4 linked regions of the Arabidopsis thaliana genome follow. The protein of the gene in region 2 interacts with the protein of the main gene of each other region in a pairwise test. Each region holds a gene or a part of one and is shown on either strand. Other genes may lie near its edges.

Region 1 (7,198 bases), on a different chromosome or scaffold from region 2:
AGGTTCATCCTGATAATTATCTTGGTTTGTTCTTGTTGTAAGGTTTTTGAGTTAGGGACCTGAAATGGGAATGCTTACTTAATTACATTAACCTTTGTTGTGTGATTTAGCTGCTCTGCTGATGTATATCTATTTGGATTTTACAGCTGAAACCATATGTATCTCAATGCCCGATACAAGTCAACACAAACGAGTCAACTGAAGCTTCCAAGTGAAAAATAGTCAGTCAGAAGATATATATGTTTTTAAGTCTTCTTCATAAAGCTTTAAGTTATGATTATGTTCTTCTATTGTCCGTAATCCTTATGTGCTATTCTTAAAATGGGAGATTTGGTTTGATATTTTCACGAAACGATATGCAAAGTAATTGGTAACATGTTTATGCAGTGGAATATATATTCACTTGATAAATTGGATGTTCACATAGTAAAATAGCTTGATACAAGAAAACATTATGCGTTATGCAATACTTAGCAAAATAAACATCAACAACATATTAAAATTCTTACGAGAAGATGAAAAAACAGTCTCACACTCTCTTGAATGAGCTTTGTTATCAGAGAAACATCGAGTTGTCGATAAGAAGGTTGTTGTTGGTAATATCACTCGTAAACAGGTTCTGATCATAACCACAAGGAACATGCGGCATCAACCCATAGTTGTTGTTCACAGATTCTTGTACCGCAGGAGCAGAGTGATCTTGTGTGTTTGAGACAAAAGAATGTTGGAAGTTGTTGTTGTTCATAAACATGTTCTGATCATAATTACAAAGCTCCTGTTGCATCAAGCCAGATTCTTCTTGTAGTAAGGCTGAGAACTCTTGATTGAAATTTGATGCAGAGAGTGGGATTTGAGAGAGCGTAGCATCTCCATTGTTACTCATGCACATGTTCTGCTCATAACCACAAACCTCCTGCTTCATTATCTGACTCTTCAACTCAGATTGTTCAAGTAACGCTGAGAAATAATCCTGATTGAAATTTGATGCAGAGACTGGGATCTGAGACAGAATATTATCTCCATGGTTATACATAAACAGCGAAAACTGGCTAGGGTTCAAAGATTGGGTCTGATTATTCAGAGAGGATGATGCTAAACTCTGATGATCCGGTTTTGTCTCCTTATGTTTCTGCGACTCAACAAAACGAATCCTTTCTCGGACTTTAGAGACATGAGGTTCTAAGGACTGAATCAGTTGAGAAATTTGGTCAGGAGAGTAATGATCAGCAATTGGATACTTTAAAACATTCACGTTCTTCAGACAAGTCTTTTCAAGTCGTTGTCCTTTATCTTTGCTTTCTTCTCCAAGTTCGTCTTGTTCTTCTTCTTGTTCAGGAAGTCATAAAGAGTAACGCTCTTCTTGCGTCTCAAGGCTTCGTTTAGTTGACTATACCTGAGAGCAATGTCTTCCACTTTCTCTCGCTCCGGAGGCCATGTCTTGAGTTCTCCGTCTGGTCCGTAATAGATGACGCATGCTTCGATATCACAGAGAGTGCAAAGCTCTGAAGCTTTCCTGAAGATGGTCTCAAGTCTATTGCTCAAACTTGTTGAAGCGAGTGAATAAGAAGAAGACGAAGAGGAATTGGAACAGCCTGAGGAAGAAGGTAAAGATCGAATGGCCATCTTCTTGTTGATTTCGAAGACAATCTCTCTATTTTTTGTTTCACGTTCAAAGTGAAGAGAAAGCACGAAGACGAATGAAATTGAGAGAGTGAAACTACGAATTAGGTTTAGGAAACCCTAAGAAGATGATGAAGAATATGAAAGTCAGAGACAACTTTGTGAAATAGCGATATACTTATAGAAAATTTGGTCCTTAAAGTTAGATTTTTTATTTTTTTTTCACTCTTCTAATCGGTAAAACAAAGCTTGTGAAGATTTGATTTCCATATCTTTTGCATAGATTTGTGTAATTTAGCCGTTAAGGACTGATAAAAAGGAAATAGTTTTTTTTTTCTACTCTCACTCTCTTTTAATTAATAAGATCTATAAAAAAGAAAGATTTGCTTGTCCATATATATTTCAGATACCCTTTGTATCATTATGTAAATAGCTCTTAATTAATAATATAATTATTGGATTTGCTAAAAATTTGTGACAATACAATCTAACAAAAATCGACCAAAATACATCCATTTTAAATAAAATTTAGAACCCTCCATTAAAAAATGAGAAATATAATTTATAACTCCGTGTACCTTTTTAATCCATTACTTTGCCATTATTGACATAAATAAAAGATTTTGCAAATTCATATTTTCTTTACTTATTTTCAAAAAAAAAAAAGAAAGCATTGTATCCTCTTCATAAAGAATATGAAATATGGCTCTGAAAAATCCAAAAAAACTAGTGTCATTCAAGAATGAGACTTAATGATTAATATAAAAAGCCATTACAATTATCTATACCAAATTAAGGAGAAGTTGCATGTTCGAAGCAAGTCTTTGTTTTTTTCTTTTTCTTTTCGGCCTTCAAGAAACCAAAAGAGAAGCAACGTTTATAGTAAGACAAGAAAAATTAATACATATTAGCGATGATCAACGTCTACACTAATTCAAGTGTTAATAGTACTATGATCTTAATTGTTAGTGGAATACGACGTCGCCGACATCTCACTCCCCGTAGTCTCCTCCATCACCATTGATCTTACATTCGGAACCTCATGAGTCAACCCTCCAGTCAAGTTGTTGAAGTAGTTATTCTCATTGTTGCTCAGAACCAGAGCATCCCCTGTTCCATTGTTTCTCAGAAACAGAGCATCCCCTGTTCCGTTGTTTCTGGCTGTATTGTACGTGACTCCGAGCATCTGAGACGCGAAGTAAGAAGCAGCTGATTCTGTGAAGCTTGCGGGTTCGTTGACTGGAGAAGGAATAAAGTTTTGTCTTGTTGATATGTGGCTGAGAACGTCTGATGAAGCTAAGAGAGTTGCGGTGTTGTTGTGTGACTGTTGATTGTTGTCAGGAATCGTTGGATAAACCCAAGATTGTGGGATTGATCTTTGTGAGGATACTGCATTTGTCTTCTTAAATATTCTACATATCGCCCAAGCATCCTACAAAATGAAAAAGATCGATTCTAATTTGTTTGGTAACCTAACCTTTGTTGCGGGTAAAGCAAGTTAGGGCAAATCCGATAACTTACGTTTGAAGGAAGCTCCTTGCTGTTGTTGTTATTGTTAAGGTGTTGCTTCTTGTTATTGTAATTGGGATATGATGAGTGATGAGAGTCAGAGAGAGAAGGGAGACGAAATTCATGCATCATCCAATCGGTTTTGACTCCTTTAGCAGCTCGACCACGGTAGAACACAAGTGATTTCTTCAAACCGATGCATCGAGTGGAGTCCAATGAGTATATAGGCCGGTCTGTTCCGGTTGCTTTCCAGAAGCCACCTCCAGTTACTCGGTTAGGTCTTGTGCTGTTGCGGTATTTCCTGTCTCTAGGACAATAAAAGTACCACTCTTTTTCCCCCATCGCTGCAAGCTCTTTTTAAACATTGATTTAAGAAAATGCATAATCAAATATTTTGTTTCCATATATTTGGAGAATTAAAAGTTAGAGTTTTGTGGCTTACTTGGGAGGTCCCATGGATCGTATTTGTAAATGTCGACTTTCTTGATGAGATCAAAGGGAAGAGATTTGTGTAAAACCTTCCGTTTCAAGTAGAAACTTACGAGTTCTTCATCAGTGGGATGGAACCTAAACCCTGGCAATACGACGTCGTCATATCTTTCAACGTTGTTACTCTCTTCATCATCCATAACTAGAACCATTAACACACACAGAATTAGTACTTTTGGGATACCAAAATTTGATGAAGAGAAACAGAGAGATTTATAGAGATAGAGAGAGTAAGTTTGGGGAAGAAGGAAGAAGTTTCTTAGAGAAGAAGAAATGGGTTCATAGGGAAACGATAATTGGACCAGAAAGTGATGCGTAGGTATAAGACCAATGTCTCTTGAATAAGAGGAGATTTATACAAGAAAGATATTATGAATCTTGAATTTTGCCGTTAAAATTATTATTTTTCTTATGAGAAGATTCAAACTTCAAGGTTATTGCGTACTTCGTGAAATCGAGGCTACGGACGAGTCGAACAATATAGGAAAAGTTATACTTACATTACGTATGTGGTTTATCTTTAGGAAAATATGATATGGAAACGTTTTTCTTCCTTTGTTTCGATATCTTATAGATGCATTCTACCAAAAAAAATCTAACTATATGGTTAATGACTTAATGATGATACGACTTTGACCGACTAATGTCAAACGTTTTTCTAGAGTAGAATCTATATGGGATCCAATCTCTATATCTATAAGTCTATAAGTAAAAGTCTTATAAATTAAGATTGATATTTGAAAGTTGTGGTGCTTAAGCAAAGGGTCGTTGTAGTTTTAGTTATAGCCGTAAATAAAGTAATGTTCTTTTACGTAAATTATGAAATCTCAAATTCGCGATTCCCTAAAATTAATTTATTCCTTCCTTCTTCCACATTTATTTATAGTTTCATACTTTTATATATATTATTGTAACATATAAGAAAAGTAAAATCCATGGTAAGTCAATATAGGCATTGGTAAAATCGAAGGCATTGCTTAAGGTTGCTATATATGTCTCCAAGTTTGAGACATGTAAAAACATAATGTATACGTAGAATAGAAATGAAGATCTCGTGGTAAAAAAAAAAAAAAAAAACAAGATGAACCAAAAAACAATTCAAGATGAGAGAAGTCCAAAAAATGGCCTAGGTTTTTTAACCCACGCAACACAAGTTGGGAAGTTTGGTCAATAGCCTTTAACCTAAGCTTTCTATTTCTCTTTATATGTAAAACATTAAAGTTGTCAACAACCATCCTCTTGGAATATCTATTAATGCTGTGAAAATCCAAGTTTTTGCTTTAATGCTTTGAACGGTTTGTGCTTTAAAACCGATACATCAAACCATCTATCTCCGAGACTAAACCCTAGGGAGCATGTATCGGACATGCTCGTCGTCCTCAAAGGAAGAGGATGATGGAGGTACACTTGCCTCTCGGCTGGTACAACACTCGCTCGCAAGGTTCGATTAATAGCTCCTCCAAAGTGGTCTGCTCAACCTAGAAAAGAGAATTGAAGGAGACATTTTAATTTAGTGAGATAAAAAAAGTAAATTGTGAACCTGAAATAAAGAAGTGGAGATGTTTCATAAACCTTGATAACACTTTTGAAAGAGACCTTGCACAAGACAATCACATTGTGGTCCACCTAAACAAAAAAACAAAGTATACATGGTAAGACAAGAGTCCAACAATGAAGAGGAATTTGGAAAATCAAGAAGCAAACCTACAGTTTTCTTTTTGTTTCAAACTTTTAAAAGCATAATTCCTTCATCTTCCACTCAGGCCTCACATCGTTTGATTCACTCTTAGGACCTAAACTGAATGACGTCTTTAGCCCAATGCATATTTGCTGTTCTTCTCGATTAACACTTTTGGATCGCGGCGTGACACCCATTTCCCGATAGAAGTGCTGTTCCCTATGAATCCAAACTAAAATCCGAATATCTAGGCCTAGATAGCGATATGTTTTTCTGGTCTGCTCAACGCATTTTCATATTTCAAACTGCTGGTCAATGTTTAATTTATGTATAAAATAATCACATGTGAAGTTGATGTATAAAACTGTCACAATTTGAAAGTTGGAGTATTAAATGACATTTTTCTCATTTCGATTATGGTGAAACGACGTTGTATTGGAAACTAAAAGAGACTAGTTAACGGATGTTATCGGATCTGTTAGCGGTAGATAACGTCGTGTGTATTTTGGCATGATCAACAAATAATTTTGTATGAAATGGTGCCCGATCAACGTATTTTTATATATTAAATGGCCATATACGAAGTTCACATATTTAAAATAATTACTTTTTAAAATTTCGCGTATAAAATGCAATATTTCTTAATAAAAAAATAAATATCTGCTTTTTTGGGTTTTTTCACAACAAAATAACACATATAAAATAAATAAATCATTTATTTTCTAAATTACTAGAGAGGGCATTTCGGTATTTCAAGTATCTTCTTCTTCCTAAGCTACACAAAAAATTATCTAAGATTCTTAATTTTATCCAGGTTTTTGCCAAATCGACTGGTCTCAGAGTTTTCTCGATTTTTTTTGGAAAGATGCAGGTAATAGCATCTTTCTGTTCGAAACCTAATGAGAATGAATTTGTTGGTCGACGACAACTTCTTTCTTCAGTCTGTTCCAAAATTTCTCAAGGCGACGTCGTTTCACACCCACCCGTTTCTTCTGTCAAGTAAGCATTTTAGCTTCTTCCATTGCCCCAAATTTTGCTGAAAATTTGTTCCTTTGATTTGGGTTGCTCAAAGATTATGTCTTTTCCTGATGGGCTTTAGGTTACTAAGAATGGTGTTATGTGTGAATCAACGTTAGTGAAAAATCACCGTAAAGCTTTTAACTTTTGGAACAATCTTTTGGAGAAACTTCTCATTTTGAATCAGACATTAAGATTTGTTGATTTCTTGGAGAATTTTGATGTTTATGTTACTTTTTGACTGTTTGATTATTCGATAGGGTTACTCAAGATTGGAAGTCGAATTTACATGAGTTAGCTGTGAAAAGTGTCCCTTCGACGACAAGGAGAATCTTGTTGACAAGTTTATTCATGAATTTGTGCTTTAATCCTTCAAGGTACTTATCAGGTCTGCACCTTGTTCAGCTATTTGCTTTTCTTCTAACGCTTTGTTTACACAAATCTGATGAGGAATATATCTTGTTTAAGAAGCTTAATTGTGACAATCAGAGCCTTTAGTTCCTAGCTGGTGATGATTCAAAGTTAGTTTAAAGGATTTTGCAATACTAGTGGTAGAGTTCTGAAGCTCCTTGAACTAGTCTAACCTCTTCATTAACACTTATAGTAAGCTTATAATAAGATGGTTTTCATTGATCCATTAGTGATAGAATTTGATAATTGAGTATGCTCCGTGATGTATTACTACAGCCTTAGCACTTGGTGATCCATCCGTTGCAACCGTTGAAGATGTTAGTCCAACTGTTTTCCCAGCTGGACCTCTTTTCCCTACTGAGGTTTGTCTCTTTAGCGAAAGTACTTGTAAGTTTCAGGTTTTGATGGTTATCCTAAAGATTTATATATCTTTTCTATGTTTCAGGGGAGAATTGTGCAACTGTTTGAGAAGAA
Region 2 (8,301 bases):
CGCCGATTTGGCCTTTCTATACGCATTCAAACTTCACAATACTATAAGAAATTAACTCCTCAGTTTTATTGCCTTCTTGATAAGTGGCAACTGGCAAGTAAGGGTAATTAGTAGTAACGGTAGAGGCTAACGAATTCACACGAGTCACTGTCAAAATAAAAAATTGAATTCAAATGACATGAGTAAGGATAGATTAACAAAAAGAAAGTTGTAATGGATAGACGCACATTGCCAAATTCCACATTATAGCTTTAAAAAAAAAAGTCTGAACGAAGAAAGAGTTGCAATTATTTAGTAATTTCAATGATATGGAACTTGCAAATTGTGGAAATTCTTAAGAACGTCCCCAACCAAAAACCAAAAAAAAAAAAACCAAAAGCATGCAACATGGAACCACATATAAGAGTACCCTTCTTTACGTCAATTATCTTTAAAGCAAGTCTTCGCTCTTCAATTTATATTTTACCAAATCATCTTCTCTCTTTCTCTATCTCTCAAAACAAAAAGTAACCATGATCAAGACAAAGACGACGTCCCTTCTCTGTTTCCTTCTCACAGCCGTTATACTAATGAACCCATCTTCCTCCTCCCCCACTGACAATTACATATACGCCGTTTGTTCTCCGGCTAAATTCTCCCCTAGCTCCGGCTACGAGACAAATCTTAACTCCCTCCTCTCTTCCTTCGTCACCTCAACCGCCCAAACCCGCTACGCCAACTTCACAGTTCCCACCGGGAAACCGGAACCAACCGTTACCGTATACGGTATTTACCAGTGCCGCGGCGACCTAGACCCAACCGCCTGCTCGACGTGCGTATCAAGCGCCGTCGCACAGGTCGGAGCCTTATGTTCAAACTCGTACTCCGGGTTCTTGCAGATGGAAAATTGTCTGATCCGTTACGACAACAAATCGTTCCTTGGGGTTCAAGACAAAACGTTGATCCTCAACAAATGTGGACAGCCGATGGAATTCAACGACCAGGATGCGTTGACCAAAGCTAGTGACGTCATCGGTTCTTTAGGTACCGGAGATGGATCTTACAGGACAGGTGGCAACGGGAATGTTCAGGGTGTGGCTCAGTGCTCCGGTGATCTAAGTACATCACAGTGCCAAGATTGCTTGTCTGATGCAATCGGACGGCTCAAATCTGATTGTGGAATGGCTCAGGGAGGATATGTTTACTTGTCGAAATGTTACGCGCGTTTCAGTGTTGGTGGTAGTCACGCGCGTCAGACCCCAGGCCCAAACTTTGGTCATGGTCAGTCTTCCTCTAAACTTATTTTAACTAAACTAGATAAAAAAATAAAAAGTCGTAATCACTAAAAAAAAAACCTTTTTACGTAACCTCAGATGAAAATTTAAATATTAGACTGATCTTAACAATTAGTCTAATGGTTTATATATTTGTGTACGACGCTAAATTTTTAAACCCATAAAATTGATAGTGTTGACCATAAATAAAAATATGAACATTATACTTGATGGAGAAAACAAATTTATTAAAAACTTTAGAGGTGGATGGATAGTTTTAAAATTATATATATATATATTTGGCAGAAGGAGAGAAGGGCAATAAGGATGATAATGGAGTGGGAAAAACATTGGCGATAATAATAGGAATCGTCACCTTAATCATCTTGCTCGTTGTGTTTCTCGCTTTTGTTGGAAAGTGTTGTAGAAAATTACAAGGTATTTTTGATATTGATTTACGTTTTTTTTTCAGTTCTTTTATCGATCATAAAATCTAAATTACTATGTATATGCCTTTTGCAGATGAGAAATGGTGTAAATGAAAGGACAAAGTGGGAAAGATATCAATCAACAACTCGAGTCGAGCCACACTGTTAGTTGTATTTTTGTAATTTTTTTTGTTCTCCCTCATAAGATGTACGTAGTTATAGTATATTGATAATTTGATATAGTATTGATATGATTGTATCTCCGAATCGATTTTTGTATAATTGTCGGACTTATATAGGCCAAAGCGATATCTTCTTCTTTGATGTGAATGAAACCTTCGATTTCTTATCTTCTATAAATGCCATGTTTTTCGTCTATGCAAAAAATAACAGTAATTAAAAGGGTTTGAGCTTCTTTTATCAATACACAAACAAGTTAAAATAAATGAACGTGTCGAGAATAATGGAACATATTAAACCGTAAATCAGGATGGAGATCCAAAAAATGATAACTGTGTTCGTCCTATTGCGAATGTCTGAACGAATCTTTTCATCGTATTCATCATTATTTATTCTCATATTGTCTAAAGAACTCAATTGAAGACTTGGCCTAATGTCCTTTAATCATTAAAAATGATAATTTAAAATTGTAAGCTGACTACCAAATCGTTTTAGGACTTTGAAAGACCAACTAACGTCTAATTCTTTTCCATATTTTTTTTAATTTTCTGAAATTCTTAATGTACTACCGATGATTGCTTCATAACCAGGTTCTTCTTTTAATTTGTACATGAGTAACATGACTAATAAATGACTTGCGTCTGTTTGAAACATTATATGAATAAGAAAAATTGGTCTCAAATAACAACATGATGTATCAAAGATTCAAAAATTTCACGTGTTATGAAATGAGCTTAGCAAAAGTTCACTCAAGTTCTTGGAGGTCTAGTTTGGAATGCAATTTAGCCAAATCTGTACAGTTATACTGAACAGATTTAATGTAAGTCGGGCCGTAAACAAAATTATGGGCCTTAGATAAGCAAATCAAACTTCTTTCAGCCCATTGAGCATTCTCGTGATTTGGTTATTGTATATCCAATACGTGACATTACTTTTGCCTCAACGAAAGAGTCTTGGCTTATCATTTCATTTATTATTATAGTTGAAATAATTTTCAAAGAAAAGAAAAAAATATGTGATAAATACCAAACCGTTGCATAAGAAAAGCAACCACACATTTTACATGTGTGTGTGAGTTCACGAAGAAAATATCCAATAGCCAAACTAATTAATCCACCTTTGAAAAAAAACATGCACTATTATAAACTAGAGCCACCGACGGTCGACGGATGTCTAATTGTATATGGTCCTCAGAAATGAAAAAATCAAAAGAATAAACACGTGTGAATTAACCGGTTTAACCAGTAGCACCAACCGTTTGTACCGGTCAGAAAAAAGCCCCACATGCTTTAATCAAGCAAGCCTTTAAAAACAGGAAAGGCAAAGAGTTAAATAAGCCTCTCCAAAAGTGTGTCTGTAACATTACCAAAACGAAACCTTCCTTGTGGATTCCCACTTCTTTCTTCTGTTTTCTTCTTCCTCTTCTTTAAATTGGATGTTTTGGGCAAGAAACAGAGAGAAACACGTTAATTTGAGAGTTTGTCATTGAATATTTGGTTTGCAATGGAAAGAGATTTTCTGGGTTTGAGCGACAAGCAGTATCTAAGTAATAACGTTAAGCATGAGGTTAACGATGATGCTGTCGAAGAACGAGGTTTGTGTTCTTGTCTCGAGAATCTTTTATTTTAATGTTTCAAGAAGAGATCAGTTTTCACTTTTAACATAGCCGTATAAAGTTGTTTATTTAAATATAATTTTTCAGATTCCAAAACTTGAAAAAAAAAAGATTCCATTAAATCTTTTATAAAAATGAGATTGGATAGATTAGTCAAATTGACGACCATAAAAAATGATACTTATAGGGTTAAGTACGAAGGCAGCTAGAGAATGGGGGAAGTCAAAGGTTTTTGCTACTTCAAGTTTCATGCCTTCTTCAGATTTCCAGGTTGGTTCATCTTAAAATTTAACTTACTCTGTATCAGTTTCAGATGTTATGGCTAATCTAATGGTTCTATAAGCTACCGCATAATCATGGTCGTCTTTTAGCATGTGCAAGAGGAGTACTCAATTATGGTCTTGATTAAAAAGAAGAATTTACTTTCAAATTATGTTAAACACATCAATCACATATTTATGAGAAAAGTTGTTTTCGTAAGAGATAGCCACCGGAAAATGGTCGGATAAATGGCCGAACTTTATCATTTTTGTGTATGTGGCCAATCATTAACCAGGGAAAAAAAATTGTTGGATAAGTGCTAGTTAAGAGCTGGTAGGGTCGGTCGTCTGCCAGCCGCAAAGTTAGGGAAAAAATAATTTAATATTTTGTGGCGTTTGGTGTTTGGCGTTTGGATCACGTTTATTTCTTGGCATTTTTCTAAATTTAGAATGTACAAAAAATTTAAAGACGTTGACGATTAAAATTTGAATTTAACAAATTAGGAGGCTAAGGCGTTTCCGGGTGCATACCAGTGGGGATCAGTTTCTGCGGCCAATGTTTTCCGCAGATGCCAATTTGGTGGTGCGTTTCAAAACGCGACGCCGCTTTTACTAGGCGGTTCAGTTCCTTTACCAACTCATCCTTCTCTTGTTCCACGGTAATTTCCATATTATGATGCAAAAACATTCAACAATTTTTTTGCTCTTTTCATATTTTGATTTGGTTATGTGGGTTTGTGGAAACAGAGTGGCTTCCTCCGGATCATCTCCTCAGCTCACAATCTTTTATGGCGGAACTATAAGCGTCTTTAATGACATATCTCCCGATAAGGTATATATAATCAAGATTCATACAAATAACATTTACATAACATTTACATGTTCTAAAACGGACTATTCATGATATGTGAGTAGGCTCAAGCCATCATGTTATGCGCCGGGAACGGTTTGAAAGGTGAAACTGGAGATAGCAAACCGGTTCGAGAAGCTGAAAGAATGTATGGAAAACAAATCCATAACACTGCTGCTACCTCATCAAGCTCTGCCACTCACACTGATAATTTCTCAAGGTGTAGGGACACACCCGTTGCTGCGACTAATGCAATGAGCATGATCGAATCATTCAATGCAGCTCCTCGTAACATGATTCCTTCAGGTATGTGTGTCTAATATCAACATCAAAACAAAATATAATCAAGATTTTTGCTTCCTCAAATCATATGTCTAAACTCGAAAATTGCTTTTTTCCAGTCCCTCAAGCTCGGAAAGCATCCTTGGCTCGGTTCTTGGAGAAGCGCAAAGAGAGGTTTGATTTTGTATTTTTTTTCTTTATAGAAAATTTTGAGGTTTTTCAATTGAATCTAAAAGAATTGATGTTGTTGGTGCAGGCTTATGAGTGCAATGCCATACAAGAAGATGCTTCTTGATTTGTCGACCGGAGAATCCAGTGGAATGAATTACTCTTCTACTTCTCCTACATAAAACCTACACTTTTTTTTTTTTTTTTTACAATGGTAATTTGTAATTGTAATCATTAGATTATGATTATATAGTTACCATTTATATTCTTACGAGCAGGAGAAGACGTTAGGGCGTCTCTGTATTTGATCATTGTTTGTAATGCTTTGGTCTGTTTATTGTAGGATTACATTATAACTTTAAGAACTAACAGATATATGTTTGTCATGGACTCATGTCTGTCAAGAATTTAATATCAAATAAAATTCACTATAATTTTTTTTTTGCTAATTTCACAAACACACTTCATTAACTAATTATATGAACACTTAATTGATTTATACCAAAATCATATTGAATGCATCGCTAAAGAGAATAGTACTAGTTTTGTATCGCCAGCTTTCGTTGTTAACAAGTCCACTTTACTATTATTCTCTCGAGTTTTTTTTTGGTATCAATGTAAAGAAAATAAGAAGGTGAAAATTCTCTTGAGGTTGATGATTGTGTAAAATACCTAAGATGATATATTACAAAAAATGATATGTTTTCAAAGGAAAATATTCATGTTTTAAATAGCTTTTTATGAAAGTCACGAGTTCAAAATTTGATGTTAAGGAGAATAAATACTACTAGTTTATGTGCTACAGTAAACAAAAAAAAAATTGTGAACCAAAAGAGCTCACATGTTGATTACGAAAACAGAGAGATTCTCTTCACAAGCGGAAAGATCTTATAGATATTATTATTTAGAGGCAGATAAATAATTGTAGGAAAGTAATAATGGTGAAGGAGATGCACATAAGCAAAAGTTTGGTGAGGAGGACAAAAAAGAGAGCTTAACCTCTAAATTCATCACCAAAAACACGTTCATATATATGAGTGGATAAGAACGATCGTCGTGGTCTTATCATTTTGCGTATCCTCTCTCTCGTGTATATGTTGTATCATCATTTACTCACTTGTCCTTTCATGCCCCCACCAAGTTGTGCAATTTGAACTACCACTACACAATTCAAAAGTACATTGTTGGGGCTAAGTTTAGTCCTTTTGTGTTTAGATTGTTTCATGAATTGATGGATTTATGATTCCCAACACTCATTTTGTGTTATCTCCTTCACTCTCCATTTCAATTAGTACTCTCTTTTACTTTATAAAATTAAACAAAACTTGTACTCTGCTTCACATTTTAACTCCTTTGCTTCTCTCTATCACTCGATATATAGCAACAATAAAGTGATTTAAAATCAATTGTGACATCAACATTTCTGGTACAAACCTCTATACTACATGTTCATACAAATTTTAATTAATAAATACAATTTTGATTTTGACTTTAATAGTTTCTATCACTTTACATTATTTTCATTTTTTTTTTTGAAGAAAGCCAAGGTCTCTTCTCTCTCATTTATCCATTGGTATAGAGAGAAACATAGCTTTCCCTAAAAACGTCTTCTTTTTGTTGACACAATTGTTTCCTTCATTAACGAAATATAAACCAAAACTTGTATTATCTCTAAGGTTTGTGTGACCATAAAATTGTTCTGAAGACAAGACAAGGTCCACAAGGACATGAATATCTGCGATAAACAATTTCACACAAATAATCCAAAAACATAAATGTCATACGTTTTAAACAAAATACATTTTTGAGATAAACCCTGAATTTGTTTCTTCCTTTTACGGTGTGTGGTTCGAAACGATGCAGTGCCATGCCGGGTCATAAGCAGAGACAAAGTCACGATTAGTACACATCTCACATTTTTCAGATCAACAAACATCAAATAAACAGATTAGAAGCTGAATTGTTTCAAGAGTTTCAGTGTTATACAATATCCTCTAAGAAACTTTATCAACAAGGATCACACAGCGCTAAGTAAAAAATTCCTAGAATTATCGAGTGAGCTATCCTCGGGTAACGTCGAACTTAAACAATAATACACGCGCACTAGGTCTCATAGGCAAAGACAACAAGATGAATCATAGTAAGCAAACGAACTCTTAGCTAACAAATTAATTTTCTTTTTCTATGGGCTTATTGGGCCGTCAACTGGACCATTTAATTTTACTAAGAAGGACAGAGATGAGGAAGTAGACCACCCCCATGAGGAAGGCCCAACAGAGATGAAATCATTATGAAGCTTGATTTGCAAAACTATAGATGGATATTTTAATTTTTAGTAGGAATCCAAACAAACAATAAACTTTTCACACAAAACCTATCATTGAGTTTTTTAGTTTTAACTGTTTTTGCTTTTGTTGAATTTGGTTCGATGATCTTTTTTTCTCTTTAAAATCAAACTTTGGTCTGATGATTATATCAACTTGTCTAGCGAGTATTAACTAGTCGTCTTGCAAACAAATAATTCAAGTAATTGACTGCAAATATAATAAGTTTAGACACCGACATAACTCTTTCTCTTCTTCACTAATTACGGGCTTACAATACAATTGGTTAAGTAGTAGAAAATAAAGAGTGGCAATAACATTAAAAAAGAAAAAAAAGGGTTTTAGGGTGGCCTAAAGTTTCCAGCACACCTCTAATAGGATAGAGAGTAATAAGTAATAAGGCCCTCCCTCATCGCCAAGTAGAATGGGCGGAGAAGTAACCGAGAAGGCCCACTAGTGGTGCATTGATATAAGTCGTGGGCTCAGACTGCTGAAAGTAAGGTCTTGAATCCGGAAAAGCATCAGTGACATTAGGTCCACCGACTACAGCACCAACCAAAAGGTTTGGGTTAGGATTTGGGCTTAGGAAATAGCGAGAGCCTTCTTTGCACCCTATGTGGCTTGGATGGGCTGAAACCGAAGGAACCGAGCTACCACGGTGATGAATCCTACGTGGAAACTTTTGACCGTATCCAACCATGTAAGACAGTCCCATCGGGTTGTCTCCGAGAATGTAATCCACCTGTTCACATATCACAAAAACAATAAGGCTTTGGTCCCAAAGAGCAAAACGGCTATGTATTTTGTTTTTGGTCTGAAATTTGGGACCAATGTTTTTTTTTTTTTTAATCTCTTACCTGACGCTTGGCGATTTGACGGAGGAGAGATGGGGAAGCAGTTAATTCGCCACAAGGCACAACCTTTTTGGCATGGCTCAGATA
Region 3 (7,871 bases), 6.8 Mb from region 2:
GTTACACCTTCAGGATTCTTCGTTTGTATGGGTTTTTATAAGGGACTGATGAATACAGTAGAATTTAGTATTTGTGCTTTACTATATGCGGGTTCCTTATTGTTGTTTACTCTGTTTTTGTAGATTCTGGTGTAACTGTTGATATTTGGACCAGCTATGCTGCAAGAATAATGGCTATATCAGTTATTCCGTTCGTCATTGTCCAGCTTCCGCAGATGTTGGGCTCAACCTCTGGAAGACAATTGTCCGTGTTGATTGCTCTAATCCTTTCAGTTCTTATGTTGATCTCTTACTGTGTATATCAGGTAACATAAAATCTTCAGGACAGAAGTTTCTGAAAAATATTTACTAGACTTGTTTCCTTTTTTTTTGCTTTCTCCATCTTGTTTTGTGAGATTATCCTTCCTTGTATGATGATATCTAGGTATTCCAACCATGGATCCAAAGGAGACGGCTTGCTTTTGCAAAACACAAGCATGTTATATCAGGAATACTAAGGCACTTGAAACAACATGCTCTGGGAAGGCTTCTTGATGATGAAGGTCAGCCTGATGAACATGTCATTCGAAAGTAAGTCATATATTCTTTACATGGAGAATGCACTTTACTCGGTTTCACCTTGTGCTCAAGTTTATCTGTTTATTAGGTTGTTTTTGACAATTGATGCAAACAATGACGGACACTTGTCAGCGGCTGAACTAAAGGCGCTTATCATTGGGATCAGCTTTGAGGATATAGATTTTGACAAGGATGATGCTGTGGGAAAAGTTCTCCAAGATTTTGATAAGACTCTTGATGAGCAAGTTGATCAAGAAGAGTTTGTCCGTGGAATTAAGCAATGGCTTATCCAGGCAATGGGAGGTGCTCCATCTGGTCCTGAAGCTGGCCCTCGAACAATGAAATTCCTTGACAATTTCCATGTGGTTAGAAAGACTGTTGAAACCTTATTTGAACAGACTTGGGTCACAAAACTTATCTGGAATCTAACGCAATTAGTTTTATCCTTTTTCTTGTTTTGCAGCAAACAAAGAGAGAGCATGCTTTGTTGGGAGATAACGAGAATGGTGAGAATGATGAGGAAGGCGGTGAGGTTGCAGACCCAAAATGGATCACCATTAAAGCAGCTCTGCTGCTACTGTTAGGAGCTGCCATTGCAGCTGCATTTGCTGATCCTTTAGTCGACACTGTTAACAACTTCTCCGCAGCCACAGGGATTCCGTCTTTCTTCATTTCCTTCATCGCTTTGCCTTTGGCCACCAATTCAAGTGAAGCCGTGTCTGCCATCATCTTCGCATCCCGCAAAAAGATCAGAACCGCCTCTTTAACTTTCTCCGAGGTCCATCCATATTCACAAGTCTTATATCTTTCTGTCCCATTATATTTCCTATACTAAAACCCGTTTCTTGGTGTTTGTTTGTTTTCAGCTATGTGGTGGAGTGACAATGAACAACATTCTGTGTCTCTCGGTGTTCTTAGCAATCGTCTACGTTCGAGGACTGACATGGAACTTCTCATCAGAAGTGTTGGTGATTCTCATCGTTTGTCTGGTGATGGGCGGTTTCGCGAGTTTCCGCACAACTTATCCTCTTTGGACATGTTTCATAGCTTACTTGCTTTACCCATTCTCCTTGGGTCTGGTCTATATTCTTGATTACTGGTTTGGCTGGTCGTAGATATCACTCTCTGTTCAAAGAGTTTGTTCTAATGAGTGAGTGTCTTCGCGCGTGGTTTCGTTTCTTCTCTACATATATATATATATATGGATTCTCGAGTGTAAAAACTTAAATTCTGAGATTTGTGTATTGGAAACAGAGTCTTATTGAAGCTAATACAGTAATATCTTTCTTGTTTCTTCTGTCTATTTAGTCTTCTCCTACATCTTTATTTTTGCTTGCTCTTTTATAGTTTTACTTATGGATGTTCTTTGTATTGAACCAAAAAAGTTACTTGTAAGTTGTAATCATCATATTTAGAGATTGAAATTTATTAATTTTTCGGGGAAAAAAAAATGATCGAACCAACTTATGACACTTACTTAGCAAGTAATGCCAATTGTACCATAAGCCGATGAATAATTGATTCATTATGTACTAACGTAGAATGTTATCGTCAGGTCCCGTAGCTCAGTTGGTTAGAGCGTTGGTCTTATGAGCCGAAGGTCGCGGGTTCGAGCCCCGCCGGGACCAAAACTTGAGTCTTTATTATTTTCGATAGAATTCTTATTTACAAACATTTTTAGACCCAAAAACTGTATATGAATCCGGAGAACCTTTTGAAAGACGAGCTCTAACTTCTTTTTTTTGGTTCGGTCCTTAACTCTTGATATCATCATTTTGTGTATGAAGCTAAACCAAATGTAAATCAGAAAATTCATGCCTGCCAGAATTTGATGGTGTTTGAAGGAACATAAACTTTTAGTGTCAATAAGGAAAATTGGATCAAATTTGGTTGGCTTCTTATCATTCAGTAAATGAAACCGGTTAACTCAAACAACATCAAACGTAGTAACCTCATTACTTAATAACCAAAAGAGCCGGTTTTAAAACTTTTTGTTGTAACCTCATCCTCTGAAGAGAGATGCAAACTAACAATAATGGTTTTAGACCACTATCCAACAATCAAGTTTTGAGCCATTTTGCGACTCTTTTCTTCTTTTTTTGGAAAATTATCATTGGCTATGGAATAGAATGAAGAAAAATCAAAGAAAAGTAAGACAGCTGTATGTAACCTTGAGATCTGACAAGAGATAGAAAGAAATAGAGAGAGGGGACCATTCTTTAAAGGTGACAACCTTTTTTCCCATTTTGGTTTCATCCTTTTCTTACACTTTGCTATCCTTTTTTATTATTATCATTCATGTCTTCTTCAACATTCCCTTTTTCTTCTGTCATGCCCCCAAAATCATAGAGGTTTCTTTTACCTCATTGATCTTTTCACATAACCAGATTCATCATGAGCTACATTTATTGTATGTACATCAATCATATACATTTGAACAAGAAGGTTACAAGGAAGGAACAAAAGAAGAAGAAAAGATAACAGAATTTTAAAATGTAGAATGGATATGATTCAGGCTGTCTTTTTCTTTTTTATGCTGCAATTTACTTTCGGATGTCTAGCCACTACTTCCAATCTCATCTTATCCCATCTCATGTAAAGTGTTGCTTCTTTATATAACTTCTCCATAAGAAACCAAAGTTTTCTTTCCGAAAGATATTATAGCCAAAAATCGACAAATTATGGACAAAAATTCATACCTTCACACTATTGATCTGAAAAGAAAGAGACTTGCTCTGCTTTCAACTTCCTTCATTTAGACCAACAAGAGTGTCTTCATCTACTAATCTAATGTCCTATTCTTTTTTACTTATTAAAGACTACATCACACTCAAGTTCGGTGGATCTCCTACACTCTTGTTTAAAGTAGACAGTTATTTGACACTAGACATCAAATTCTCTTTTGCTCCTTTTTCATAAAATCTTGAAATCTAGTATTGAGGAAGATTCTATGAAAAGAAGTCAAAAACCATTTCTCTGATATTTATATAGGGATCCGTGGATCATGGGCCAAAACTCTTACTAAGTATCAGAGCTTGCATCCACTAAACAAATTTTAAAAGAAACCCATAATTCTAAACTCTAAACTCCAAAAGAAGCAACACATGCAAACCCTGTCTATGGAAAGTGACTCTTCATCTATGGGGCCAAAAGAAGAGACTAAGAAACACAAGAGAAATGATTGTTTCAAATTCCATTTGCTAGTCAAAAGAAAGTTTATAACCACAGAGATTGGGAAGATAATACTTCTAATAAACGCTAAACCAAACAATATGATGATTGATGTAGATGGATAGAGCACTGTTCCTCTTTGGGATTGGCAAACAAAATGAGATATTTCTTGGGGAAAGCATTAAACCCACATGGAATAAAGGGCAAACAAAAGACTTTAGCTTCAAGTGGGGTTAAAGGTTTCCAACACAAGAACATAAATAAAGGACAAGTAATTGTAGAACAAGTTACAACAAACAAGATGTGAGCTCATGTAGCTAGAGCTAAACATTGTAAAACAGAATTGAACTTACAGAACGTTCTCTAATTGATACAAGATGAATTCAAATTAACCAAGGCCTAGGCTTTTAAAGACTTAAGAAGAACCTGAAACTGTTGATCAGATTTATAGGCCATTTGGATATTCGAAACACACAACAACGAAAACCGCCTTCACTATTCCACGCATTCGAAGCGCCCTGAAACGTTAAAAACAATGTAAGTTATCAATTTGATGAATGGTTAAAAGACAAGACTTTCACAAATGGGTGTTGTTTTCGAAAAACTTCAAACCTGGAATATGAAAAGAAACCTGTTGTGTTGCACAATCTTATGTGTTTTTGGAACTTGTTTAATGGCGAGAATCGGATGAAGCAGAGGACGGCTTGTTGTCGCCGCCGTGCTCCTCTTGTTCGCCTTGAAACCGTGCTGGTATACGAAAACCGGAGAATTCACCACTTGAAGCAAATGCAATGCCTGGAATAGCAGATTGGTGAATCCCGGGAGGGATATGGTAGGGATGATGATGGTGGAGATCGTCAGTGGTCATGGACTGCTGATGATGATGATGATGATGGTGAGGATCAAACCAAGCACGAATCATAGGTGTGTTAATGGACTGAAGGGGACCCCTCTGTGATAAAAGCTGACTTTGGCTATAAACTGGATGCAACGACGACGGAGAAGCAAACACAAATCCTCCGGTACTTCCGGCGGATTCAGCTGCTCCGACGTTGTTCCATGACACTAGTCTCTGTATCTTTCCAAATTCCGGTGACTGATGACTCTGTTCCCAGCTTGCCGTCGATGAGTCAAACGCTAACTGATTATTGCTCTGGCCGGAGAACAGAGCAGGTTCTGTTTGATTAGGAAAAGGTGGACCATTTTGGAAAGATTGAAGCGAGAGACGAAGAAGATCTTGGTTCTGTGTATTGCCTCGTGACGGTGGCTGATGATGATAGCTCTGTTGCGTTGAAGCTACCGGAAAAAACGACTTTATAGTGTCAGCTATCGAATCAGAATCCATTGACGCCGGAAGAAAACTCGATTCGTTATCTTCTTCTTCTCCGATTCGATGATGCTCTGTTTCTTCCGGTTGTGGCGGTGGCGGAGAAATTAAAGTTTTGGTTTTTCTGGGTTTAGCGTTAGCAGCAGCGGCGGCGTGTTGACGAAGAGTATCGGCGGGGTTCCAAGGAGGAAGCTGAGCAAGATCATCAATGGCGGATTTAGCTTTAGTAATAAGCCAATCAACAGCTTTACTTGGTCGATCAAAACCAAGTCTATCTTGAACATCGTAGAATTGAATCGCCGTCGGAGCTGAGAGTCTCACGCGCCGGTCACGTGGTCCTTTCGCTGTACATACTTTACTATGTCTGTCTTTTCTTCCTGTTGACCGAACAATGTGACCTCCTTGTACCTCCACAATCTCGCCGCAACCACCACCGTTCTCCGTCGCTGATTGGTGGTGTCTCATCTCTAGAAGAGGCGGCGACGGAGAATCTAAGAAATGGTCGTTATCTGGTGCCATTGATGAAGCATATTGTGGAAATTCAAGGTCGTTGATGGTGGTGGTGGTTGGATTATGACGGCGGCGGCGACGGCGGTCGTTAACCGCCGAGGAATCCAGAGTCGTTCGATTTATTTAATTCAACATTTTGCCTCTCCTCCAAATCCCAAACCCTAAACACGCCAACAAATCAAAGATGAAGAAGAAGAAGAAGAAGAAGACGTAATTGAATTTTGCAGACTAACCCATGACTAAATTTCTCTTCTTTTGTCTAAAGATTGTTTCTTTTTTAGAATTTGTCTCTGTTTCTGAGAATTCAAGAAGCAAAAACAGAGGAAGCAAGAAGAGAGAGAAGAGATAGAGAGATGTGGAATTGACTAAACGAGAATCCAGGAAAGCTCTTTTTAATTTTTTGTTTCTGGCCGGAAAATTTACAGTAACGGTAAAAAAAGGAAGAGATTTTGGGGTTTGGGGAAGAGAGGGAAATGGTAATGGAAGGAGTGTGTTTGGTCATAAAAAGAGCTCTCTGATACTCATCATCATCACTTGTGCTTTTATTTCATTTTTAAAGTGTTTTCTTATTTTATATTATATATTTTATGGTTTTTCTAAATGAAAAACAAAAAGCTTTTGTCCGATTCATCATGTGGAAATATTTTACATGACATTTCGAATTGTATTAGCTATATACATTACAATGGATATATTTTGGTAGAGGTTACTGTAAGAATATCAACACATATACATAGTCCTCTTAGGTTTGGTTCTGACTACCACTATTTTTTTTTGTTAAAGATGATAGAAACTATAAGCACTAATAAACCCAAATTTTACCAAGTCAAAGATTGTTCTGTACTGTGTTAGAAAATATTAATACAGAACTTTTGAGGTAGTAAAGGTTTTGGGTTGTTGGAAAAAAAGACAATACAAGAAGATTTCTTTTATAATAAAAACTAAAAAGTAAAGCTTTTAGATCTGTTGGAGAGTTGGAGACACTAATAATTGGGCGGTATAAACTAATATTGATGGTATTATTTTAAACAAATAAAGTATTATTTTCATCGAATCAAATTGTATTGGTTTTAGAGGTTACACCCTGTAAAATGCATCACCAGTATCCGTAGGATTCGACAGTATCCCTATAATCAACCATTGTCTATGCTCCTTTCCACTATCTGTTCTCGAACTCCACTGTTCGTCAATCCCACTTTTAATTAACCAAACGTAGTAAAGTTTCAGATGGAAAACGAAAATAATAGAGATACATACTTGTACATAGTTTTAGTTTAAAATTAACTTGAATTTCCTTTAAACAAAGATAAAAATGTGTATATATACGTAATTTGGTAACTCAATCAGTTTTTTTTTTCTTTTTTGTTAACAAGGAAATCCCGAGCATTTGACATACTAATACAAGTATGGTATGTGATTAAATATGAACATTTTAGGTGTGATTCATGTAGAGATTTCAAGAGAGATATAAGAAGAAATATGTGATTGTAGATAGGAGATTTATGTTTTTTGTAAGTGCGTTTCCTACTCATCGAGCCAATCTGCATTGAATCCATAATTTTTTCTTTTACCTTCCCAAGAGAAGAAATTATCAAAACATCGTTCTACGACATGCAACATCAAATTTAAAGGCACGAAATATCGCACGGTTCACTGGTTTAGGACACAATCAATTATTGTTTTCCATTTTTTTGTCATTACCACAAATTCTCTTTCTAACTACTTCTCCATTATACACACCGACCATGCATGTACTGTATTTTTAATTAAATACCCGTAGTCATACGAACTTTTCTGATATATAATGTATTTGGTACCATATTCTTGATCATCAAATAATGACAATGCACACATAAAAAGATGACGTATCGATATGTAAGGCAAAGATGGAATCAAATTTCAAATAAATGTTTCCCATTGCACCTACTCAACCAAGTGTAGTCTAAATAAATTTACGAATATACCCTATAGGCTTTTAGTGTTTTTCGATCGCATGTGTGTCAGTAAGTACACTCCCCATCACCCTCATAGTCATTTCCTCTTATCTCTCTCTCTTAAGTTATTTTCCCCAATATTTATTCCTTTCATTTATTTTTGTCAACTTGTTTTTCCGATAAAGAAATAAACACAATTTTTTCTGTCAATTTCCTAGTTTTATTTCGTTTATTTCCATTGTCTTATTTTTTTCCGTAATAAAAGAAATTAAAGCACTGTGAAAAGTTATAAATTCATTCTTCCATTCCCTTTCAAAATGATTAGTTTGTATTAAGTCATTTTCAGGGGAATTGTAGTAAAATATTTTATT
Region 4 (8,821 bases), on a different chromosome or scaffold from region 2:
GCAAAAGTATGCAGAGGTTCCTAATGTTTCTCCTCACTTGGCTTATGCTACTGAATCAAACTACTCAAAGTGGTCAATCTGGTGGAAATCGAGGTCGCAACAACTACACCACTAAAGGGAGAGGTTTCCCTCAACAAATCTCAAGTGGCTCTCCCTCTGACTCAGGAACAAGACCTACCTGTCAGATCTGCAACAAGTATGGTCATTCTGCTTATAAGTGTTGGAAGCGTTTTGATCATGCTTTTCAGAGTGAAGACTTCAGTAAAGCCTTTGCTGCAATGCGTGTCTCTGATCAGAAATCCAATCCTTGGGTGACTGACTCAGGCGCTACTTCACACATCACGAACTCTACTTCTCAGCTTCAGTCTGCTCAACCTTACAGTGGAGAAGATTCAGTTATTGTTGGCAACAGTGACTTTCTCCCCATAACTCACATTGGTTCAGCAGTTCTGACAAGCAACCAAGGTAATCTGCCACTAAGAGATGTTCTTGTTTGTCCTAATATCACTAAGTCTCTTTTATCTGTGTCTAAGCTTACCTCAGATTATCCTTGTGTGATTGAGTTTGACTCTGATGGTGTGATTGTTAAGGACAAGCTGACAAAACAGCTCCTCACGAAAGGAACCCGCCATAATGATTTGTACCTGTTGGAGAATCCGAAGTTCATGGCTTGCTACTCTTCCAGACAACAAGCTACAAGTGATGAGGTGTGGCATATGAGGCTAGGTCACCCTAATCAAGATGTTCTCCAACAACTTTTAAGAAATAAAGCCATAGTTATAAGTAAAACAAGTCACAGTTTGTGTGATGCTTGCCAAATGGGAAAGATTTGCAAGCTTCCTTTTGCTTCTTCAGATTTTGTTTCAAGCAGACTCCTAGAACGTGTCCACTGTGACTTATGGGGTCCTGCACCAGTTGTTTCTTCTCAAGGTTTTCGATATTATGTAATCTTTATTGACAATTACTCAAGATTCACTTGGTTTTATCCATTGCGCCTCAAATCAGATTTCTTCTCTGTCTTTCTCACGTTTCAAAAGATGGTTGAGAATCAGTGTCAACAAAAGATTGCTAGTTTTCAGTGTGATGGAGGGGGTGAGTTTATCAGCAATCAGTTTGTTTCTCATCTTGCAGAGTGTGGAATCAGACAGTTGATCTCATGTCCCTACACTCCTCAACAAAATGGTATTGCTGAAAGAAAACATCGTCACATTACAGAACTTGGTTCGTCAATGATGTTTCAAGGCAAAGTTCCTCAGTTTTTGTGGGTAGAAGCTTTTTACACTTCAAATTTCCTGTGCAACCTTCTTCCATCCTCAGTTCTCAAAGATCAGAAAAGTCCATATGAAGTTCTTATGGGAAAGGCTCCAGTCTACACTTCTCTTCGAGTTTTTGGATGTGCCTGCTATCCTAATCTCAGACCTTATGCAAGTAACAAGTTTGATCCTAAATCGTTACTATGTGTTTTCACAGGTTATAATGAGAAGTACAAGGGATACAAGTGTTTTCATCCGCCTACAGGGAAGATATATATCAACAGACATGTTCTATTTGATGAATCCAAATTCCTTTTTTCAGATATCTATAGTGACAAAGTTTCAGGTACAAACTCAACTTTAGTCTCAGCTTGGCAAAGCAACTTTCTCCCGAAGAGTATTCCTGCAACTCCAGAAGTCTTGGATATCTCTAATACTGCAGCTTCTTTCAGTGATGAACAAGGTGAATTCTCTGGTGCTGTTGGAGGAGGAGGTTGTGGGTGTACGGCGGACTTAGATTCTGTTCCTATAGGCAACAGTCTCCCTTCTTCTCCAGTTACTCAGCAGAATTCACCACAACCAGAAACTCCTATCTCTTCTGCAGGTTCAGGAAATGATGCAGAAGACTCAGAGTTGAGTGAAAATTCAGAAAATTCAGAAAGTTCAGTGTTCAGTGAAGCTACAACAGAAACAGAAGCTGCTGACAACACTAATGATCAAAGTCATCCTATGATAACAAGGTCTAAATCAGGCATTTTCAAGCCAAATCCCAAATATGCTATGTTTACAGTAAAGAGTAACTACCCTGTACCAAAGACAGTCAAAACAGCTCTTAAAGACCCTGGATGGACTGATGCAATGGGTGAAGAGTATGACTCTTTTGAAGAAACACATACTTGGGATTTGGTTCCACCTGACTCGTTCATTACTCCTTTAGGCTGCAGGTGGGTTTTCAAAACGAAGCTAAAGGCTGATGGAACTCTTGATAGATTAAAGGCTCGTCTTGTTGCTAAGGGCTATGAACAAGAAGAAGGAGTTGATTACATGGAGACTTATAGTCCAGTGGTTCGCACAGCCACAGTGAGAACAATCTTACATGTTGCAACCATTAACAAGTGGGAAATCAAGCAACTTGATGTTAAAAATGCCTTTTTACATGGTGATTTGAAAGAGACTGTGTACATGTACCAACCTCCAGGTTTTGAAAATCAAGACAGACCTGATTATGTGTGCAAGCTCAACAAAGCCATTTATGGTCTTAAACAAGCTCCGAGAGCTTGGTTTGACAAGTTCAGTACTTTTCTCTTGGAGTTTGGTTTCATCTGTACCTATTCAGATCCTTCTCTGTTTGTGTTTCTGAAAGGAAGAGATCTCATGTTCCTCTTGCTCTATATGGACGACATGCTTCTCACAGGCAACAATAGTGAACTGTTGGACACACTGCTTGTCTCTCTGAATAAAGAGTCCGCATGAAAGACATGGGAATGCTGCATTACTTTCTCGGAATTCAGGCTCATTTTCACTGAGAAGGGTTGTTCTTGCATCAAGAGAAATATGCTATGGATCTCCTTGTTGCAGCAGGAATGGCAGATTGTGCCCCAATGCCAACCCCTTTGCCTCTTCAATTGGATAAAGTTCCTGGTCAACAAGAAAGCTTTGCTGATCCTACTTATTTTCGGAGCTTGGCTGGTAAGTTACAATATCTTACTCTTACTCGTCCTGACATTCAATTTGCAGTCAATCTTGTGTGTCAAAAGATGCATTCCCCCACAGTTGCTGATTTCAATCTCCTCAAAAGAGTCTTACGCTATCTCAAAGGAAAAGTTCAAATGGGTCTCAACTTACACAACAACACGGATATCACTTTGCGTGCTTATAGTGATAGTGACTGGGCAAACTGCAAAGAGACTAGAAGATCTGTTGGTGGTTTCTGCACTTTTCTTGGCACTAACATAATCAGTTGGTCTGCAAAACGTCATCCAACAGTCTCAAGGTCCTCAACAGAAGCTGAGTATAGGACCCTCTCTATCGCAGCTACAGAAGTGAAGTGGATCTCATCTTTGCTTCGTGAAATAGGCATCTATCAACCTGCACCACCGGAGTTGTACTGTGACAACCTCTCTGCTGTCTACCTCACTGCAAATCCAGCAATGCACAACCGGTCTAAGGCCTTTGATGTTGATTTTCACTATGTTCGAGAACGTGTTGCCTTGGGAGCTTTGGTTGTCAAACATGTCCCTGCTTCTCATCAACTTGCAGACATCTTCACCAAGTCTCTTCCCCAACGTCCATTCTTTGACTTAAGGTACAAACTTGGCGTTGTTTTACCTCCCACACCAAGTTTGAGGGGGTGTGTGAATCAGAGAGAACCTCCTCTACAATCAGAAGCTTTGCTTTCTGCGAATGGACCTGCAACACTCAACAATACTTTGGGCCTCAGTCAAAGTGTCAAGCCCATCAACCTCAAGTCTTCTCTACCTTGCAACGGTAACAAGATTCCTCAATTTCCAGCGCATCAACGTACGGGATTCACAGCTAATCATTTGTCCCTTCATAACAAATTTGATCCTCTTTGTTCCTCTGTCGTGATGTGCAGCTAATGACGTGTGACCTAGTGTCTCACCATTTTGGGGTTCATATATAAACCCTTCTCTGTCATTGTAAACCTTAAGCTGAAATATTCAATAAAGAGATTTCTCTTCATCATCGTTTTATCAATACTTTCACTATTTTAGTCTTTCAATTACTTCTTTGTTATAGAATTTAACCACAACATTATCAATTTATTAACTATTAAGTAAGAGTTTGACATTATTCTTGCAGGTTTTCTGTACAACCAACCGTATCAATGGTATCAGGTTTTGACATGACATTACATAATTGAAGGTTTTGCTGTCGTTACATAGTAGTCAAAATCAAAGTGAATTATTTTACCAAAATAGTTGTTTAGATTTTAACCAAAGGAACAAAGGACACCGATAATGTTATGGTTATATATAATTTCCTTTCAACCAAAAAACAAAAAGGAAAGAAGAGGATTACATAAGGAATTGTGATGAAGTAGAGAGATTACAACAACATAACAGAAAGCTCAGTTAAAAAACTTTGGCTTGAGAGTTTGATCCGACTAAACATAATAAAATGTATGTTCCAAAAAGAAACTCATTACAAACCCTTCCATTTGTTTACAAGATTTCAGACATCTTTTTTTCCGGTGGTGACTTTTCAGGTGTGAGCTGACGCTGCAGTCATTCCCATGGATGATTCTGGGCTAACGTACTCCTCGCTTGCGTGCCGTACAAACTCCTCCGGTGACATGTGCGAGCCGTGGCAAGCGCATACGATTTTGATCTGGTTTGCGTTGTACCGGTATGTGACACCTGAGATTGTCCGTCCGTGTGGGCCTGAACCAGTGGTTGAGACCCACGGTAAGTTGGGACGTGCCCCGGATCCTCCAAACTTCACATCTGCTGCCATTCCAGGTTTTATGGCAGAAAAGTCGAAAGAGAAAGCGGTATTGAGGTTGCTGTTGTCTCCCGTTGGTCGTTCTGATGCATCCTCGGATGAACCTTCTTCTGCAACAGGTTGTTTGCCTTCGCCTTTTGCAGTAGCTTTTTGGAAGGAAAAGTTACTATTTTTGCTGTAAGAGTACTAAATCGTGTTTTAAGGGAAGGTTTTGCTTACCTGAGTTTGATGGAACTCTTCCAGCAAATGGAGATTGAGAAAGTGCGACAATCCCTCCTGAACCGTCCTTATCTAGCATAGGGAGCTGGACTGGTGAGTATCCGAACATAATCGGGAGATTTCCAGCATTAGCATTAGGCTGCAATAGACTTGTAGCTGCTGCGTGTTGTCCAGACTCTTTTGTCGGTAAAGAGTAAGGCATACTAGTGACGACATTTTGCGGATGAACTGTGAAAGGTACGGTGTAACTCATGTTGCGCATTGTAAACTCTTCAGTGCCAGATCCACCATGGTTGCTCCTCCTTTGACCAGTTAAGTTGTCCACAATGTTTGTATCAGTAGGAGGACGAACCACCTCCTTTGCGTGGTTGGAAGAAGAACCACCACCTACTTCAGACTCTGCTACATCTTCGTTTTCAGCTGTTGATCCTTCATCTGTCGCAGTTGAAACATGGGATGCTTTTGTCTTCTTCTCATGCATATCAACATGAGACGAGTCCTTCTCTTTTTTCTTATCATCATTCATCCCCGGGAACCCGAACTTTCTTTTGTTCCCTGCTTCTTTCCGTGACTCATCCTCCACCCACAAAGGTTTCGTAGAAGCTTCAGCCTCAGTTGTAGGAGCTTTTGAGAGGTCATTGAAGAAATTTTGTGGAGGCTGTTGACCCGAATCACTTCTCTGAGAACCAGAACTCGGCTCTGCAGGTCTTTGAGAAGTTGGATGCAGGAAGTTCTTAAAGTCATCAATCACTTTAGCACTTCTATCGCCTCCTTCTGCCCTGTAGTTCTCTGAGGAGCTTCCAGCATTATTATTATTGTTACCCTTAGCTTTTCCTGTTGATCCTCCACAAGAAAGACCCAAGCTGAGCTCGAGCCCATTATCATCGTCCATTTTTTCTCAAACTTTTTAAGCAAACTCTGAGCAGGTCAACAGATCTTCAGAGCACCGTCAACAATCTTGATTACCATCTGAGAAAAATACATCATGGGCAGAAAAGGACTCATTATCCAAAGCTAACCAATGGTTTCTAGAAAAAAGAATCAAACGCAAAGCTAAGAACTTTGAGAATCATAGATGGCTGCGGAAGTAAACTTCTTCTAAATTTATAAAAAGAAACACATCTGCTTGAACTTGCAACAAACATCACATGCTTTGCCAAAATCAATCCTAGTATTCAGTATAACAAATTAACAAGCTACCAGAACTCTCAGAAACATTGGACTCGGATAGTACCTTAGAAACAAAACCATTGAAAGAAACAATTCAGCAATTCTCCAGAAACTTTCTTCTCGCTCCTACCAAGTACCTTTTGAGTTCTGTGATAACAAAAAAAGACCATTTCTACAACTTAGGTTCTGAAAACCCCCAATATTCATCATTTCCATTTTGAGAAACTAAACTAAAATGGAAACAAAGCAAAGACACACATCACTCACACTTGTATGTCAGCTAACAAAAAAAAAAAAGGAATCAAAATCCAGAAATCAGAGTGAGAGATAGCACAAAGATCTAGTAACTGATAAGACACTATGCAGATCTGTCAGCTAAACGAGCTACATACGAAGAAACAAATCAATTGACTTTCTAAAGATCGAAATCATCAAAAGAATCATAACCTAGACGCGATCAGATTAAAACCCTGACCCCTAACTACACAGCAATAATGCCAAATCAGCTCAAATTAAATCACAATAAGCCGAATAAAGCTAAAACAGAAGCCGAAATCAGAATCGAGAAGATGAAAACCTGATGAAACCGAGGAAGAAGACGAACAAACCCTAGAGCTTCTTCGCAGCGTGGCGGCTCCTAGACAGTTGCATCAGCGATTGGGGCTTCTTCGGGTTCGGACAACTAGTACGGACCATTTCCCTTTTCCCTTCGTAATACTAATAATTATTATTTTATTGTACAATTAGTTTCGATTTCGTCCATGTGTATCTTGTGCATTTTCTTAACTTTTGAATAAATAACAATCGTATAGTCAGCATATATACTACATGTTTGCAATCATGAATATATTTGTACATTGTACATGTCCAATGCATGAATAGAAATACATGGGCCCAATTTTCTTTTTAAAGCCAAACTAGTCCATAACTATTCACATCTACCAACAGATTTTTCATTTCTTTAACAAGTTTTAGAGGAAACACATATGACATATCTTATGCGTTTTTATAAAGATATACTAAAAAGTTGGTCACATAGTATATAATCTATATTTTCTAGTCACCACTTTCTTTAGAATAGTTGGATAAGAGAGACAACATTACAAGATATGCTAAAACGATTTAATTACTCCATATGTGTGTAAATCGTCACTTAATTTAATACTTCAAAATTTCCTTCGAAAAAGACATAGCTAAAGATATGTGGGGATAATATATATATATATATATATAATAGTATCAAAAGCTGTTTGCCAAAAAAAAAAATTCAAAACGATAGGTTTATATATATATATATTTTAGATTGATTCATGATCAATAAAGTCGCTTTGGCCGAGTGGTTAAGGCGTGTGCCTGCTAAGTACATGGGGTTTCCCCGCGAGAGTTCGAATCTCTCAGGCGACGTTATCATTTTATTTTTGATATTTCCAGCTTTTTTTTCTTTGTCAGGCTTTTCCAGTTTTTTTTCCTCCTAAATTGACATGGTTTTATTTTTTTTGTACAAAAAATTGACATGTTTTTTTTTTAATACAAAAATTGACATGTTAAGACTTAAGACTAAAGAGGAAATTGGAAATTGGAAATTTGAATATTATAAAATAAAATTATCTTATGTTGTAAAATTTTAATGGCATGAAAATATGTTACTTATGTAAAAATAAAATAATGAAAACAAACATGGTTAATAATATTGAAAAGCTACAACATGAATAAATATATACTTTGATTGACTCATAAGCAATAAAGTTACATGGTTTTTTTTTTATTATTTCTGATGCTATTATTCATAGTTTTATAAGTTTGAAAAATAAATTAAAAAGGATCATTAACAATTCAAAGGATAAATAGACTTGTTTCTCTCTTTTTAATCGTCATATTAAATACCATAAGATGTCGAATTTTTCAACCTAATGTCTACGTTGATGATGTTGTGGCTATCCACCGTGAGACGGTGAAGAAGACCCCTCACCGTCTCCCACATACAAAATCGCCGCCGCCTATCACATTGTTTCAAAGAAACTCCTCCTCACCGACTTGCTCTCAATAGAAGTGAACTCCCATCTCCCAACCCTAGTCCCAGGAGCCTCCATCATCGTTACCAACAATTCACGATAATACAACTCTAAATATTATTCTCTCAGCTTCAACTTCTCATGAAAATCATATATGTTTTGTTACTCTTCAAAAATCCAAGGAATAAAATGATAGAAAAAAATATATTCTTAGAGCTCTTGGTGATTTCATACTTGTCTTGATTGATATCACAATATTCAGAACAAGTAATCACAAGTAGAAGACAAGCTTTAAAAAGAGGAAGAAGAAGAGACTTGTAGTTATTGCATTGAGAACAAGTAATCACAGATTCACAGTATAGTCGTCATCAAAGGACTTGAAGTCAACCCTACGGTAACTTTTTATTGAGCAGCAGAGGATGAGCATTCCGGTTCAGGTTTACTCTAGGGCGGTTCATCCTCCCCAATTAAATCGCTTGGTATGGCTTGCCAAGAGTCAACTTCTAGACGAATGTGTCCCGGTTTTCCATCCATGGCTTTCCGTACTATTGTTTGGTACTCGACATGCTTACCACTCGGATGATGATCACCACTGCCCTTGAAACCCATGTAGAAGATAGCGTTGTTGGCCTTGAGCTTCAAGTGCGGCGACTCTTCACAGCTCTTCCGAGTCTGTACAATTACATACTTGATCTTTAATGG

Evidence for each region.
Region 1: the proteins of TIFY7 (region 2) and NAC094 interact in binary tests that used the Arabidopsis thaliana proteins (3 or more experiments, as listed by UniProt).
Region 3: the proteins of TIFY7 (region 2) and TCP3 interact in binary tests that used the Arabidopsis thaliana proteins (3 or more experiments, as listed by UniProt).
Region 4: the proteins of TIFY7 (region 2) and NINJA interact in binary tests that used the Arabidopsis thaliana proteins (3 or more experiments, as listed by UniProt).

The regions. Positions count from the first base shown.
Region 1 is NC_003076.8:15,936,722-15,943,919, forward strand, and holds NAC094 (NAC domain containing protein 94), read right to left. Parts: upstream 3,870-7,198; 5' UTR 3,771-3,869; coding exon 3,572-3,770; intron 3,483-3,571; coding exon 3,142-3,482; intron 3,053-3,141; coding exon 2,579-3,052; 3' UTR 2,389-2,578; downstream 1-2,388. Other genes in the region: AT5G39800 (Mitochondrial ribosomal protein L27), read left to right, coding at 147-215; AGL98 (AGAMOUS-like 98), read right to left, coding at 557-1,186, 1,264-1,623; DEG8 (Trypsin family protein with PDZ domain-containing protein), read left to right, coding at 6,162-6,295, 6,574-6,701, 7,001-7,086, 7,170-7,198.
Region 2 is NC_003070.9:26,651,587-26,659,887, forward strand, and holds TIFY7 (TIFY domain/Divergent CCT motif family protein), read left to right. Parts: upstream 1-3,181; 5' UTR 3,182-3,364; coding exon 3,365-3,455; intron 3,456-3,663; coding exon 3,664-3,746; intron 3,747-4,240; coding exon 4,241-4,395; intron 4,396-4,483; coding exon 4,484-4,568; intron 4,569-4,651; coding exon 4,652-4,892; intron 4,893-4,987; coding exon 4,988-5,163; coding exon of another isoform or gene 5,164-5,218; 3' UTR 5,219-5,478; downstream 5,479-8,301. Other genes in the region: HWI1 (Receptor-like protein kinase-related family protein), read left to right, coding at 513-1,260, 1,560-1,691, 1,776-1,795; GH9B1 (glycosyl hydrolase 9B1), read right to left, coding at 7,770-8,102, 8,218-8,301. UniProt on the Arabidopsis thaliana protein: Repressor of jasmonate responses. Jasmonoyl-isoleucine (JA-Ile) specifically promotes COI1-TIFY7/JAZ9 interaction. Interacts with and suppresses RHD6 and RSL1 transcription factor activities to negatively regulate jasmonate-stimulated root hair development.
Region 3 is NC_003070.9:19,845,861-19,853,731, forward strand, and holds TCP3 (TEOSINTE BRANCHED 1, cycloidea and PCF transcription factor 3), read right to left. Parts: upstream 5,866-7,871; 5' UTR 5,576-5,865; coding exon 4,400-5,575; 3' UTR 4,342-4,399; exon of another isoform or gene 4,341-4,341; intron 4,248-4,340; 3' UTR 3,928-4,247; downstream 1-3,927. Other genes in the region: AT1G53210 (sodium/calcium exchanger family protein / calcium-binding EF hand family protein), read left to right, coding at 124-305, 425-570, 647-923, 1,022-1,336, 1,425-1,673. UniProt on the Arabidopsis thaliana protein: Plays a pivotal role in the control of morphogenesis of shoot organs by negatively regulating the expression of boundary-specific genes such as CUC genes, probably through the induction of miRNA (e.g. miR164). Participates in ovule development.
Region 4 is NC_003075.7:14,259,852-14,268,672, forward strand, and holds NINJA (Putative interactor of JAZ), read right to left. Parts: upstream 6,936-8,821; 5' UTR 6,685-6,935; intron 6,294-6,684; exon of another isoform or gene 6,255-6,293; 5' UTR 6,172-6,254; intron 5,907-6,171; 5' UTR 5,830-5,906; coding exon 4,938-5,829; intron 4,865-4,937; coding exon 4,479-4,864; 3' UTR 4,183-4,478; downstream 1-4,182. Other genes in the region: AT4G28920 (hypothetical protein (DUF626)), read right to left, coding at 8,564-8,791. UniProt on the Arabidopsis thaliana protein: Acts as a transcriptional repressor. Negative regulator of jasmonate responses. Connects the JAZ proteins and the non-JAZ protein TIFY8 with the TOPLESS corepressors.